3 linked regions of the Arabidopsis thaliana genome follow. The protein of the gene in region 1 interacts with the protein of each later gene in a pairwise test. Each region holds a gene or a part of one and is shown in the gene's direction. Other genes may lie near its edges.

Region 1 (4,008 bases):
AATTCATTAACGTCTGCTAACGGGGTTAATCGGATCTATTAATGCAAGTTAACGTTTCGTGATTTTGGCCAGGTTAACGTTTTGTTTTTGTTAAAATGGCTGGTCAACGTTTTTATCATGTTTAATTTGACCGACTTTAGAATTTACGTATTGATTGGCTACTTTTTGAATGTTCAGTATAAAACAACATTTTTCCCAAACTTATATCACATTTTTCATTTAATTTTTGCCTTATTTTGTTAAGGATTCATGATAAAAAAAATCTTCCATGTGCCCCCAATGGACTTGCTCGCCTAGTTTTCAAGTGAAAACCCACATAAAAATATGGAGTAACTGAACCAGATCCAAAATGTTATGTTCAGCCCACATAAGTTACTAAAGTAGTAGCTGTAAGAAGCCCAGCAGCCCAATTGTAGAATCAGTAGCAGATGTGGAGCTGTAAGTTGGAGAGTTTTCATTTCAATGTGCCAATTCACAGCTTTGAAGAGCCATCATCTGCTGTTAGAAATGATTTTCAAATTCTATGCGTAAAATTATTATTTTTTACACAAAATAATTGTGAATGACCGGGTTCAAAGCATATCCCTCCGCATTTAAAACAAAATTATATGAACTATCAAGTAAAAAAACAAAATCATTTCTCTTAAAGTCTTAATATAAAATGAAATGTGAAAGTTTAGGATAGTTGAAAGAGAAAAATGGTGTTTCATATTTGAAGGAAATTTAATTAACTTAAAATTCAAGTATAAACATGTCATATATAGTGTTTCTTATAAATACTTTATGAATAATCAACATAAAGTTATAAATCTCTTTTTTCGTTTTTTACCATGTATTCTTCTTTCTAATTCCGTATAGTATAGATAAATACCCATAAGTATAAACAAACATGTTAACGATGGTATATATATATATATATATATATATATATATATATAAAAGAATTTACATATTAGAGAGATGTCCAAACTTTTGAAATAATTAACAATTATTACTACTCGTTAAACAATAATAATATTTACTATTTTTTTTTTTGAAATTAAGTGTTGCTGTATATCCTAAATTTTATTTTAAAATGTTTCGTTTTACATTTTCAATATAAAAACAGTTTTTTTTAATTGATTAGTTATTACAAAAAAATTTTTAATTGTTTAAACAATTTCTACTTACAAATATTGTTGATTAATGTTTTGTTAAACTTGATTTTAGTTTTTTATAAATTAAAAAATTACGAGTCCTTATCTAATATATATATATATATATAATAATTTACATAGTAGAGAGATGTCCGACCTTTTTGAAATAAATAACATTTATTACTACTCTTTAAACAGTAACAATATTTACTATTTTTTGCTTTAAATTAAGTGTCTTTGTATATCCTAAATTTTATTTTAAAATGTTTCGATTTACATTTTCAATATAAAAACAGTTTTTTTATTAGTAATGTTTTATTAAACTATATTAATAAAAACGAAACATAAAATTTATGTCTTTTATTAATTTGTGTGTCATAACCACAATTAGTACTTCCTTTGGTTTTAAGCATTACATGTAGCTAAATTTTTGTTCGGATAGAATTGTTTTAAGAAAATAATTTACCCTAGGTAAGATTTTATATAGTACCCGATACAAGTGGACCAAACTCCAATGTATATTTTATTTGATTATTGTGTGTGTATATATTTATGTTGTAAAAATCCAACACTATCTATCTTTTCACATTCGTCACATCCCCACTAGAGAAAGAAAGAGATATTTGTCTCTCTCTCTCTCTCGTTTTCGCTTTCATATTGAGTTTGACTCTTCGCCAGCCACCGCCTCCTCTCTATCTCTCTCCATCAATGGCGACACCATACCTCTCCCTTCAACCTCTTTAAGTAAAAAAAAAAAAAACTTTTTGCTTTCTCTTTCTCCTCTCCCATACACTTCATTTCTCAAAACCCTAGATTCACCAAAATAAACCCTTCTCTTCTTCTTCTTGTCTTTATGTTCTTGTTTCTTTCATGTCCACATGGATTCTTGTAACAGTGGAAGCTTACAATCTTCGAGCGATGATCACGAGTCTTCATCAACTGGTGCTCCACAAGATCACTCCTCTTTCTTCCTCCCACCCTTCCAACCACCACCGTCTTCCTCCACCTACTACGGTGACCCAACAACCCTCTCTTCCTCCTCCTCCTCCTCCGCTACTTATCTAAACTTTGTCAACAATCTCATCTCCGACGACATTCTTAACCAAACTCATCTCCTCCCTCCTCAACCTCCACCACCTCCTCCTCCTCCTCCTCCCTCTTCTTCCCGAAACCCTAGAAAACGAACAAGAGCTTCAAGAAGAGCTCCTACAACTGTTCTCACCACCGACACTTCTAACTTCAGAGCTATGGTTCAAGAATTCACCGGCGTCCCTGCCTCTCCTTTCTCTCACCCTTTCTCCTCCACTACTCGCCGCTTCGATATTTTCCGATCTCCTTCCGATCCTCTTACTTATAACCCTTTTCGTCCTATCCCTCAAAAACCTTTGAATCCTTCAACATCTTCTTTACTCAACCTTCATCACCACACAACTACTTCCATGACGTTTCCTGATCTACCTCTCCCTCAAACTCACCAAGTTTCTACGTTCCAGTCTCTTTTATCTCATCAACATCATCATCAACCAACACTCTCCTCTCTTCACGACCTTGACTCGATGAATCTTGGAGCATTACAACAAAATCACCATCCTACGGCTGATGATGACAACCACCAGCTAATGATGAGGCAGTTCTCGGAGTTTGATCGCCGGACAGAAAAGCCACCGGAGATTCATAATAACATTTCCTCTTCTTCTTCAGCTCCGATCAAAGGCTCTTCAGGTACTACTACTACTACAACAACAACAGTTGATCCCTGGATTTGCCCTACAGATTCCAATAATTAAATATCATATTACATTATTTTTTAATAATTGAAACCTTATCTTAAAATCAGATTGTAGTCACTGAGATTGAATTATCATAATTTTTTTTACGAATGATATATTCCGTCGAAATATTTATTCTCATATCTAGTGATTATACTCTGTCTACACGTTACGATGACCCATAATGGGGTATATGATTCTCTCCACATGTTGTAAGTACTGTATGTAATATAATGTATCTATGTATATGTTTTTACGTTACAAATTTGGCTCTTAGGTCTTGAAGAGAATCTAATTCGGATTTGGTTCGTTGGTCTACAAGGACAGTTCACACGTGTAATGTGTTTTGTTCCATCGTTACTTTGACATATCTTCCCTCTATATATTATAGGTTTTGTAGTCTAATTAATGTCCCGGCAACTTTTTTTTAACTACTCTCCATCCCTGTCTGTACGAAATAAAAAGCTAGGTCTTAGTATTTGTCCCTTTCTTTTTCAATGTAGTTTTTTTTTTCTATTTTTGTTAAAATGTTTTCGACGTAGTTAGCTAGAGCCTAGAGATTCAAAATTACTCACATACATGTTTTTCTCTTACAATGTGTATATATATATATATATATATATATATATATATAAAAATATATGTTACATATGAAACTAACTACAAAATGAGATGTTTTCGTGAAATAATCAAATTATTTTTGTTTGATTCATTTCAACGTTGAGAGTTGTGTCCCATATTAAGTATCGCCTTAATAACAGATTAGTAGTTTAGTACTGCCAAAACATTTACGGACATTGTATAGTGAAGCTAGGACGTTCGAAATGGATTTCAATTTTTTTTTTTTTTTTGTTATATATATAATTTTTGGATTGTCAGATTATGGATAACAGTTTTAACTAAAATATAATCTAAATTAAATAACTAAAGTTTAACATTGTTTTATTTCCAAGCCCGGATTTAGTTTTCTTTTTTTAAGATATAGGAAAAATAAATTCATTTTTAACGATATTAAAGTATAGTTTAGTTTTTTGGATTTGATTATTTGAGTTCAATATTCAGATTGTCCGAATTGAATTCATCTTCTACTATCTATATATGTA
Region 2 (4,162 bases), on another chromosome or scaffold:
CGGACGGCGACGAGGAAGAAGAAGAGAAACGATCTATCCCCACAGGTCCAAATCCTTTGCACAACAAGTAGAGTACTGACTACTGAGAAAGATGCAACATACTTCGACTTCGTAAATTGTTCGTTTGGTGTATATATGTATCGTTATAAGTTAGTTTACTTTTCAAGATTAATAGTCTTTAATTAGGTTGGGTTGGAAACTCTAAAATAGTATGAGATAAATTTCAATTGTTTCTAGCATTTAAATTTTGTATGCTCAAAGTTGCTGGAACGATATGGCAAACAGAAATAATGGAATCGAAAAAATATCGTGATATGTTAGAATAAACTGAGTAAAAGTACGTTTTTGTGAATTTTCTTTTGTCATTGTAATTTGTTTTAACAAAATACAGTATTATTCTTTTTTACGTACTAATAAGGTATATTGTTGTATATATAAAGGTCAGTAACTTGTAACTCATCTTTTTTTTTTGTTTTTTTTTCTGTTTTAGCTGATAGGTGGTTGGTGTTCATTAATAAATGTCCATATATCACTTTCAAAGCAATTCACTAAAATATAGATATGTAATTATTTTTTATTTTTTCAGATTTTCCCCTTGAAAAAGGGGTTCTTTCAATTAGAACCCCACACTAACACACTCCTTCACTTTTGGCCAGCCGCCCTTCTTTTTCAGTCTTTCAGTTTATATTTTAGCCTCTTTTTTAAAAAATACTATATTTTATTGCTTTTTCTTCTTCTTAATTACTTTAGTTAATCATAGTTAAAACACATTTTTTTGTGCAAACGTTTAAGTTTTAACACTATCTGATTTTAAACTTTTAATCATTTGCATGTAAAATCACTCAAATAGGTAATATTTATATGATTCCAGTCATGTGTTTCTTAAAAACAGAGCCACACTACATGTTTCTGTGTTTATTCTCAGTTAATTAGTTTTTATGTTTGTTTTAACACAATACAGAGAGAATATTATTGTAGTTACAAAAACAATTAAGAGTGGCACCAAGAAATTTCGTCTTACCTTTTAAGACAAGATTAAAAGACCACTTTGAAATTTTGAATCGTTGACTTAAGAATAGACTTAGCAAAAAAACTTGGTCATACATATATGATATATGTGTGGGTCAACGATTCATATATGTATGATGATACATTGCAATGTGCCAAAACTTCTGGAAGAACAAAAAACGACTAATAAGAAAAAATAAAATATATAAAATGTTGCCAACATTAAAAAACGCATTTGCTGTTTCCCATCAATATTGGAGTATAGTTTATATAAGATTTTTAACAATATTATAAGCTAGTTAATTAATAGAGTTAATCTTTGGTAAAAAAACAGACGGAATTTTATAACTTTCGAAATCATATTGATCTGCATATATATATATATATATATATATATATATATATGTGGATTCACCAGACCAGATGAGATAACCATTTTGAAGGATTTGCTAAATAAAAGTTAGGCCAAAAAGAAATCAATAAAGTTTGTGACAATATCTTTAATAGTATAATTTACATTTACATAATTCAATAAGTCAAATCTTATTGTGTCTTGGTGTGCACTGTAAAGTAAAGTCCTGTCTGCTTCAAACGCAGCATAAGCAAACTTACAACTTAAATCCTCAGCCGTTGATCCAAAGACCAAAATCCAATTATCAACGTTACCTAATGTAGACGATAAAATCTCTTAAAATGGGCCCGTAAAGCCCAAGCAAAAAAACAATTACTTTAAGTGGAAGCTCACTTTTCGCCACCCTTATTAACGTCTGTCCATACGTCATAACAGATGACGTCATCATCATATTCCTTTTTTCACACGTGGCATTGAAGCACCTTCCTAGTATCTACCCTGAAATTGCTTGACATAAGTAGTAGTTGTTTAATAATCTTTATCTCTTAATTATCCTCTTTTCTTAACAAAAACTTGTTACAATAATTTTCATTTTTATATAAATAACTGACCATTATAACTCTTTCTCTTCTCTTCTTCACTTGCTCTAGTTCTTGGATGCTTTAAACCTCTCTCTCTCTCTCTCTCAATTATTTTTTTTTCTATTTCAAAAACAAAAAAAAATGAATATCTCTCAAAACCCTAGCCCTAATTTTACGTACTTCTCCGATGAAAACTTTATTAATCCGTTTATGGATAACAACGATTTCTCAAATTTGATGTTCTTTGACATAGATGAAGGAGGTAACAATGGATTAATCGAGGAAGAGATCTCATCTCCGACAAGCATCGTTTCGTCGGAGACATTTACCGGGGAAAGCGGCGGATCCGGCAGCGCAACAACGTTGAGTAAAAAGGAATCAACGTGAGTTCCTTTTTAATTATTATTGTTGGCAAGATTCTTAACCAAGCAATTAGTATTTCATTATATATAGTTTTATTCATTAATCTTTTTGATAATAAATATTGTAGTAATAGAGGAAGTAAAGAGAGTGATCAGACGAAGGAGACGGGTCATCGAGTTGCATTTAGAACGAGATCGAAGATTGATGTGATGGATGATGGTTTTAAATGGAGGAAGTATGGCAAGAAATCTGTCAAAAACAACATTAACAAGAGGTAACTTATTCATTTACAAATTACTCATTTGATCTAATTAATATGTTTTACTAGTACTTGTTTTTAACATAACATATGGTTGCTTGATAATTTTCTATAACCATCTTGTAATCCTGTTGTTATAGAATATATAGCCACTAGCTAGCTAGACCATATAGTGATTTGAATACTATTTAATGGACCCGTATTATCTACCAACCCACTTGGAATAAAATTTAGCTTCTATATACATCATGCATGTGTGTTTTGTTTATACAAATATATAAAAGGTTCCTATAGCAAAATTGATTGATTAGTGGTATATGGATCAATGAATCCATGGTTGATAATCAGTCATCGTATAGATTTATTTTGACTCATATATCATAAGAGAAACAAATATAATGAATTCATCATCTAAACATATCACTTTCATTCAAAGCATGGTTTGAAAGCAATTTACACACTCTGTAATTGGTTAATGATATTCTTATATATATACATACATATATATATATATATATATATATATATAACTTGGTGCGATATATTATAAAAGTGATTACAATTTAACATGTGGTGGATGAATTTATAATATAAAGGAATTACTACAAATGCTCAAGTGAAGGTTGCTCGGTGAAGAAGAGGGTAGAGAGAGATGGTGACGATGCAGCTTATGTAATTACAACATATGAAGGAGTCCATAACCATGAGAGTCTCTCTAATGTCTATTACAATGAAATGGTTTTATCTTATGATCATGATAACTGGAACCAACACTCTCTTCTTCGATCTTAATCCAAATCTCTCATCCTCGTTGAGATTGTAAGATACCAACAATATTAATATTATAATCTCAATGCTTTGTATAATTTGATAGGTGTATAATAAAGGAGTTACTTATTTCGTGGTTATAAATGTTTAATGTATGTATATTGCTATGAGTACATTTTGTAGGTCACTGACTCACTAGATATAAAATCTTAAGCGTATATTTATTTAAAAAGTAGTGTTGAATTTTTTTGGGTCACGGTTGTCCAAAATACTGCGATCTGAATCCAATCCTTATTTGATTAGACTCAAGAATGATTTAGAAAAACCTGAATTACTTGTATTCTTATATCCATTATTAAACCGACATTTGACCCGAAATGCGTCAGACTAAGATTGTACCGGGAAGGAAATGTGAAAAAAGCAACTTGTAAAAAAAGCCTGTGTGACAGCTCTGTAACTTGTAAGCGTCAACGAGGTCAACTGTTTCGGTTTAGTTGTTACCGGTAATTTGGTTTATAATGGATTTTGATCGGTGTGATTTATGATCCGGTTTTGGTGCGTTGTGTAGATTGTCCCGAACCGATCTCATCTTCTACCTTTCAACAACTTAAGCAAGGAAACGAAGTCGTTTCATATCTGTTCTTCCGCCCAAATCTCAAACACTAGTAAGTAAATTCGAAGGGAGTCTTGGATCTCTCTGATCTCGATCCAGATTCTCTCTACTTCTCTTATCTTCGATAGAGAAATTTGTATCTTCAGATTTATTCGAGGAGGAAGACGAACCCTACTTGATTGATTTAGGAGGTGGAGAGATCTTTCTGAACAAGTTTG
Region 3 (4,821 bases), on another chromosome or scaffold:
TTCCAAACCAAAATAAAAATAAAAGATTATAACAAAATGAAACTAATCAATAAGGAAATTAACGAGACACCAAATACGTCAAGTGATCATTGATTCAAGAAGACCCATGAGTCTCTGATCCGCTTGTTTCAGTGGCTCGAAACAAGACTCTTGTATACGCACCTGGCCAACAAAAAAGGCTTTGACATAGCTAAACCCTTCCTGGCATGTTACTGCCATGGATAAACAGTTAGTCTTCACTCGATCGGACAAAGACTTCGCCGGCTGTCGTGATGTCTCGGCGTCTTGCATCGCTGCTTTTTCGAGATAGATAGATTGCTTGAAACTTGAAAGCAAGACTAGGAAATATCTCACTTTCTTGTGCCAATGATGATTTTTTTTAACTATTAATGATTCTGGAAGCAACTCTTGCCACGTCTGTTTTACGTGTTAGCTGTAGAGATACCGACGTGTATTAAAGCAAGAGGCTATTTTACTTTGGGCCTTTTGGGCTTTTGGGCTGAAGAAAGAAACTGTCATCGGATCAACAAACACTGCATAGTTTGCAACTTGCACGGTAAAGCGACACAAAATCCATGACGTTTAATTTAGGTTCCACGTGAAGAACCATACCACATATCGTGCAATAAGAAACTGATCACTTTTATATACCTAAACGATTTACAATTTACACTACTATGCTTGACACGATATGTAATTTTTTTTTTTTTGCCAAAGGGTGTTGTTATTGATATTAAACATTGTACAATACAACGTACATAGACTGTTTATATAAAACAAGGACGTCTAGATAAAAAAAGCAAATAACAAATATTACAAGACTAGTTAAGGAAACAACAAACTGAGTAAGGTTTTATGTACAAAACAGAGACGACTACCAAAGAAGAGGGCCAGACGTGGTAGCAGTGATGGAAGACAAACATCCTGACATCTCAATAAGAACATTTATGGCTACTTCAAATACATATATACACAATATGTAATTCTCTTATTACATTTATGGCTACTTCAAATACATATATACAAAAAAAAAAGGCCTACCTTCGACAGAAGTTATACCAATTTATTGATCGGAAGCTACAAAATGTTATCTAGGGTCAATTTGTAGCCTATCTCTATATCAAAACCGATACGGATACAAAATAGTTTGATAATCATAGAATTTAACATTCTAATAAATATTTGTTTCTAGTATTCTTTAAATGAATAATCTTGTGTTCAATTAGTCTATTCATAGTAGAATTAAGTCTCCTAAAAAATAGATTGAAACCAAAAACAGCCGCACATGGATTTAATATCGACTTTAGTTAGGAGGTTTTGCTAAAAATAGTAAAATACTCACAAACTCACTTCTAAATACTAATCTTTTACACTCATGTCATGTGCTTTAAAGATATGAGAGAACCTTTCCTAGTACACCTACAGTCAAAATTTTCAAGATTCCGAAATTTTCTAGGTTTTTTGAGCAAGAGCCAAGAATCCCAAATGTTTGAATTTGTATTTTTGATCCAAAAATACTACAACATCGTATAAAGAATAAATCATACGTGTCAGAACGAGACATATGAAGATGATGAAAGCATTGAGCCGCCCCTCAAAAAATCCGTTCAACGTTTGAGAGTCAAGGCCACAAGGTCTGACCAATCTATCTCTTCTCCTTCTTCTTCTAATCATATTTTCAACGGTCAAACTTTTTATCACCTTCTCAGAAACTACTCTTCTTCATATGTGACCCTAAAAATAAAAACGAACAATTAAACAAAATTTTAAAATAATATAATATTCACCAATCAGACGTGCAATATGTTTTATATATTCAGACATAACCAACAAATATACAGAAACAAGAAGAAGAACAAGAACCATCACTTCTCTCATTTTCTTCTTCTCCAAGCCCCCCTCCTTTCTATATATATCTGAAATTGGTCTTTTATAAAACAAACTTCCATTTTTCGTATGGCTGCTTCTTTTCTTACAATGGACAATAGCAGAACCAGACAAAACATGAATGGTTCTGCTAATTGGTCACAACAATCCGGAAGAACATCTACTTCCTCTTTGGAAGATCTTGAGATACCAAAGTTCAGATCTTTTGCTCCTTCTTCAATCTCTATCTCTCCTTCTCTTGTCTCTCCTTCCACTTGTTTCAGTCCCTCTCTTTTTCTCGATTCCCCTGCTTTTGTCTCCTCCTCTGCTAACGTAAGCCTCTCTGTTTTTTTTCTCTGTTTCTTTTGAAATGAATCCAATTAGTGATGATAATCTGTGTTTGATGTATCATTGATTTAACATCTTGACAATGAATCGTGATCGGAAGTGATAAAGTTATGGGTCAACGGTTTCAAAGAGAGAGAAAGACTTTTAGAGTCAACTCTCGACTCTTTCTTAATTATGTTATTGCTATTTGTCTCTTTTCTTGAAGTCTGAACAATTCTTGGGATTGTTTTGCAGGTTCTAGCTTCTCCAACCACAGGAGCTTTAATCACAAACGTAACTAACCAGAAAGGTATAAATGAAGGAGACAAGAGCAACAACAACAACTTTAACTTATTCGATTTCTCATTCCACACACAATCATCAGGAGTTTCTGCTCCGACCACAACTACAACTACAACTACAACTACAACAACAACAAACAGTTCTATCTTTCAATCTCAGGTATGTACTTCATCAACAGCTCAAATCCTCTGTTTATGAGTTTTTCTATAACTTTGTTTTGAGTTTCAGGAACAACAGAAGAAGAACCAGTCAGAACAATGGAGCCAAACCGAGACTCGTCCAAACAATCAAGCTGTATCTTACAATGGAAGAGAGCAAAGGAAAGGAGAGGATGGTTACAATTGGAGAAAGTACGGACAAAAACAGGTGAAAGGAAGTGAGAATCCTCGGAGTTACTATAAGTGTACTTTCCCTAATTGTCCAACGAAGAAGAAAGTGGAGAGATCTTTGGAAGGTCAGATCACAGAGATTGTGTATAAAGGAAGCCACAACCATCCTAAACCTCAGTCTACTAGAAGATCTTCTTCGTCTTCTTCGACTTTTCATTCAGCTGTGTACAATGCCAGTTTGGATCATAATCGTCAAGCTTCTTCTGATCAGCCTAATTCCAATAATAGCTTTCATCAGTCTGATTCCTTTGGGATGCAACAAGAGGATAATACTACTTCTGATTCTGTTGGTGACGATGAGTTCGAACAAGGCTCATCGATTGTCAGCAGAGACGAAGAAGATTGTGGGAGTGAACCTGAAGCAAAGAGATGGTACAGATCATCATCACCCTCCAAATTTGCTACTCTTTGAACAATCTTGAATATGAAAGTTCTAAAATGTATGTTTTTTTGTGTTTTCAGGAAAGGGGACAATGAAACAAATGGTGGGAATGGTGGTGGAAGCAAGACAGTGAGAGAGCCGAGAATCGTAGTGCAGACAACGAGTGATATTGACATTCTTGACGACGGTTACAGATGGAGAAAATACGGCCAGAAAGTCGTTAAGGGAAACCCAAATCCAAGGTAATAACATAAACAATTGTGCATCTCAATAACTCAGAATTAAGGTTCTTGAGAATCTGACCTTTTGTTTTCTTTTCATTTGCTGAATCTTAACAGAAGCTACTACAAGTGCACAACCATCGGTTGTCCAGTGAGGAAACATGTGGAGAGAGCATCACACGACATGAGAGCAGTAATCACAACCTACGAAGGGAAACACAACCACGATGTTCCTGCAGCTCGTGGTAGCGGTTACGCCACAAACAGAGCACCACAGGATTCGTCTTCAGTCCCGATTAGACCAGCTGCTATTGCTGGTCACTCCAACTACACTACTTCTTCTCAAGCACCATATACACTTCAGATGCTGCACAACAACAACACTAATACCGGGCCTTTTGGTTACGCCATGAACAACAATAACAACAACAGCAACCTTCAAACGCAACAAAACTTTGTTGGTGGTGGATTCTCTAGAGCAAAGGAAGAACCAAACGAGGAGACCTCATTTTTCGATTCGTTTATGCCCTGAAGAAAAAAGGAACCAGTTGTTCCTTTTTTATGTTCCTTTTGTACATTTCTGCCACCAAAGGATTTTACTACTTACTAGTTATCCTGCAGGATAGTAAGTCAGACTTCTATAGTCCATAGAGAAATTTTTTCATTTGTTTTTTCACACGCCTGTAATATGTTTAATGTTTGTACTTTGTACCATAGAACTAGAACACGGAATAAAACCAATCAATTTTCAGTTTCTTCACTTTGAATAATGAATCAAAGAAGCACACACACACACACACAGTGACACAGGGAGACACAGTGACAGTCTGACAGACCCAAATAACAGAAGTTGATATCAGCTATAAGAACACATAAAAGAATTGACATTTACATGTATAACAAAGATCACAATGGTATATAACTACTGAAGCACATTATTGCAAAGAGATCTTCAGATAAAAGAATGAGTGGAGAGTTTGTAACCGGAGAAGAGAGCAGAGAGAGCTAAAGCAATGAATGCGAAGATAGCCATACTTATAGCAGAAGCAGCAGAATCAGTGAAAATGTTATCTTGACCTTCTCTGAATATGTTTGTCAATGGAATTGCAGATGATGCAGCTGATATAAGCAAATACGCCACAATCTGCAAATTTCACTTTTTTGCATAAAAATCATAACTTTACATATATAAATCTGAGAATTGATAATCAGTTTGTGGCATTACCTGGTCGCCGGAGAAATCGACCAAAATAGAAGTCCGGCGATCGAAAATTTCCCTTTTTGAGAAATGTGCAAATGTTTGCCACGCAGTGTATAATGTTGAAATAATCGA

The links.
Region 2: the proteins of AT1G35830 (region 1) and WRKY51 interact in a two-hybrid assay, tested with the Arabidopsis thaliana proteins (one study listed by BioGRID).
Region 3: the proteins of AT1G35830 (region 1) and WRKY33 interact in a two-hybrid assay, tested with the Arabidopsis thaliana proteins (one study listed by BioGRID).

Annotation. Positions count from the first base shown.
Region 1 is NC_003070.9:13,320,129-13,324,136, reverse strand, and holds AT1G35830 (VQ motif-containing protein), read left to right. Parts: upstream 1-1,625; 5' UTR 1,626-2,014; coding exon 2,015-2,923; 3' UTR 2,924-3,462; downstream 3,463-4,008.
Region 2 is NC_003076.8:25,906,333-25,910,494, forward strand, and holds WRKY51 (WRKY DNA-binding protein 51), read left to right. Parts: upstream 1-1,914; 5' UTR 1,915-2,082; coding exon 2,083-2,324; intron 2,325-2,431; coding exon 2,432-2,578; intron 2,579-3,159; coding exon 3,160-3,355; 3' UTR 3,356-3,549; downstream 3,550-4,162. Other genes in the region: CLE21 (CLAVATA3/ESR-RELATED 21), read left to right, coding at 1-71. UniProt on the Arabidopsis thaliana protein: Transcription factor. Interacts specifically with the W box (5'-(T)TGAC[CT]-3'), a frequently occurring elicitor-responsive cis-acting element. Involved in defense responses.
Region 3 is NC_003071.7:16,106,520-16,111,340, forward strand, and holds WRKY33 (WRKY DNA-binding protein 33), read left to right. Parts: upstream 1-1,715; 5' UTR 1,716-1,956; coding exon 1,957-2,199; exon of another isoform or gene 2,200-2,448; coding exon 2,449-2,655; intron 2,656-2,724; coding exon 2,725-3,257; intron 3,258-3,347; coding exon 3,348-3,509; intron 3,510-3,605; coding exon 3,606-4,020; 3' UTR 4,021-4,247; downstream 4,248-4,821. Other genes in the region: AT2G38465 (uncharacterized protein), read right to left, coding at 163-291; AT2G38480 (Uncharacterized protein family (UPF0497)), read right to left, coding at 4,441-4,632, 4,714-4,821.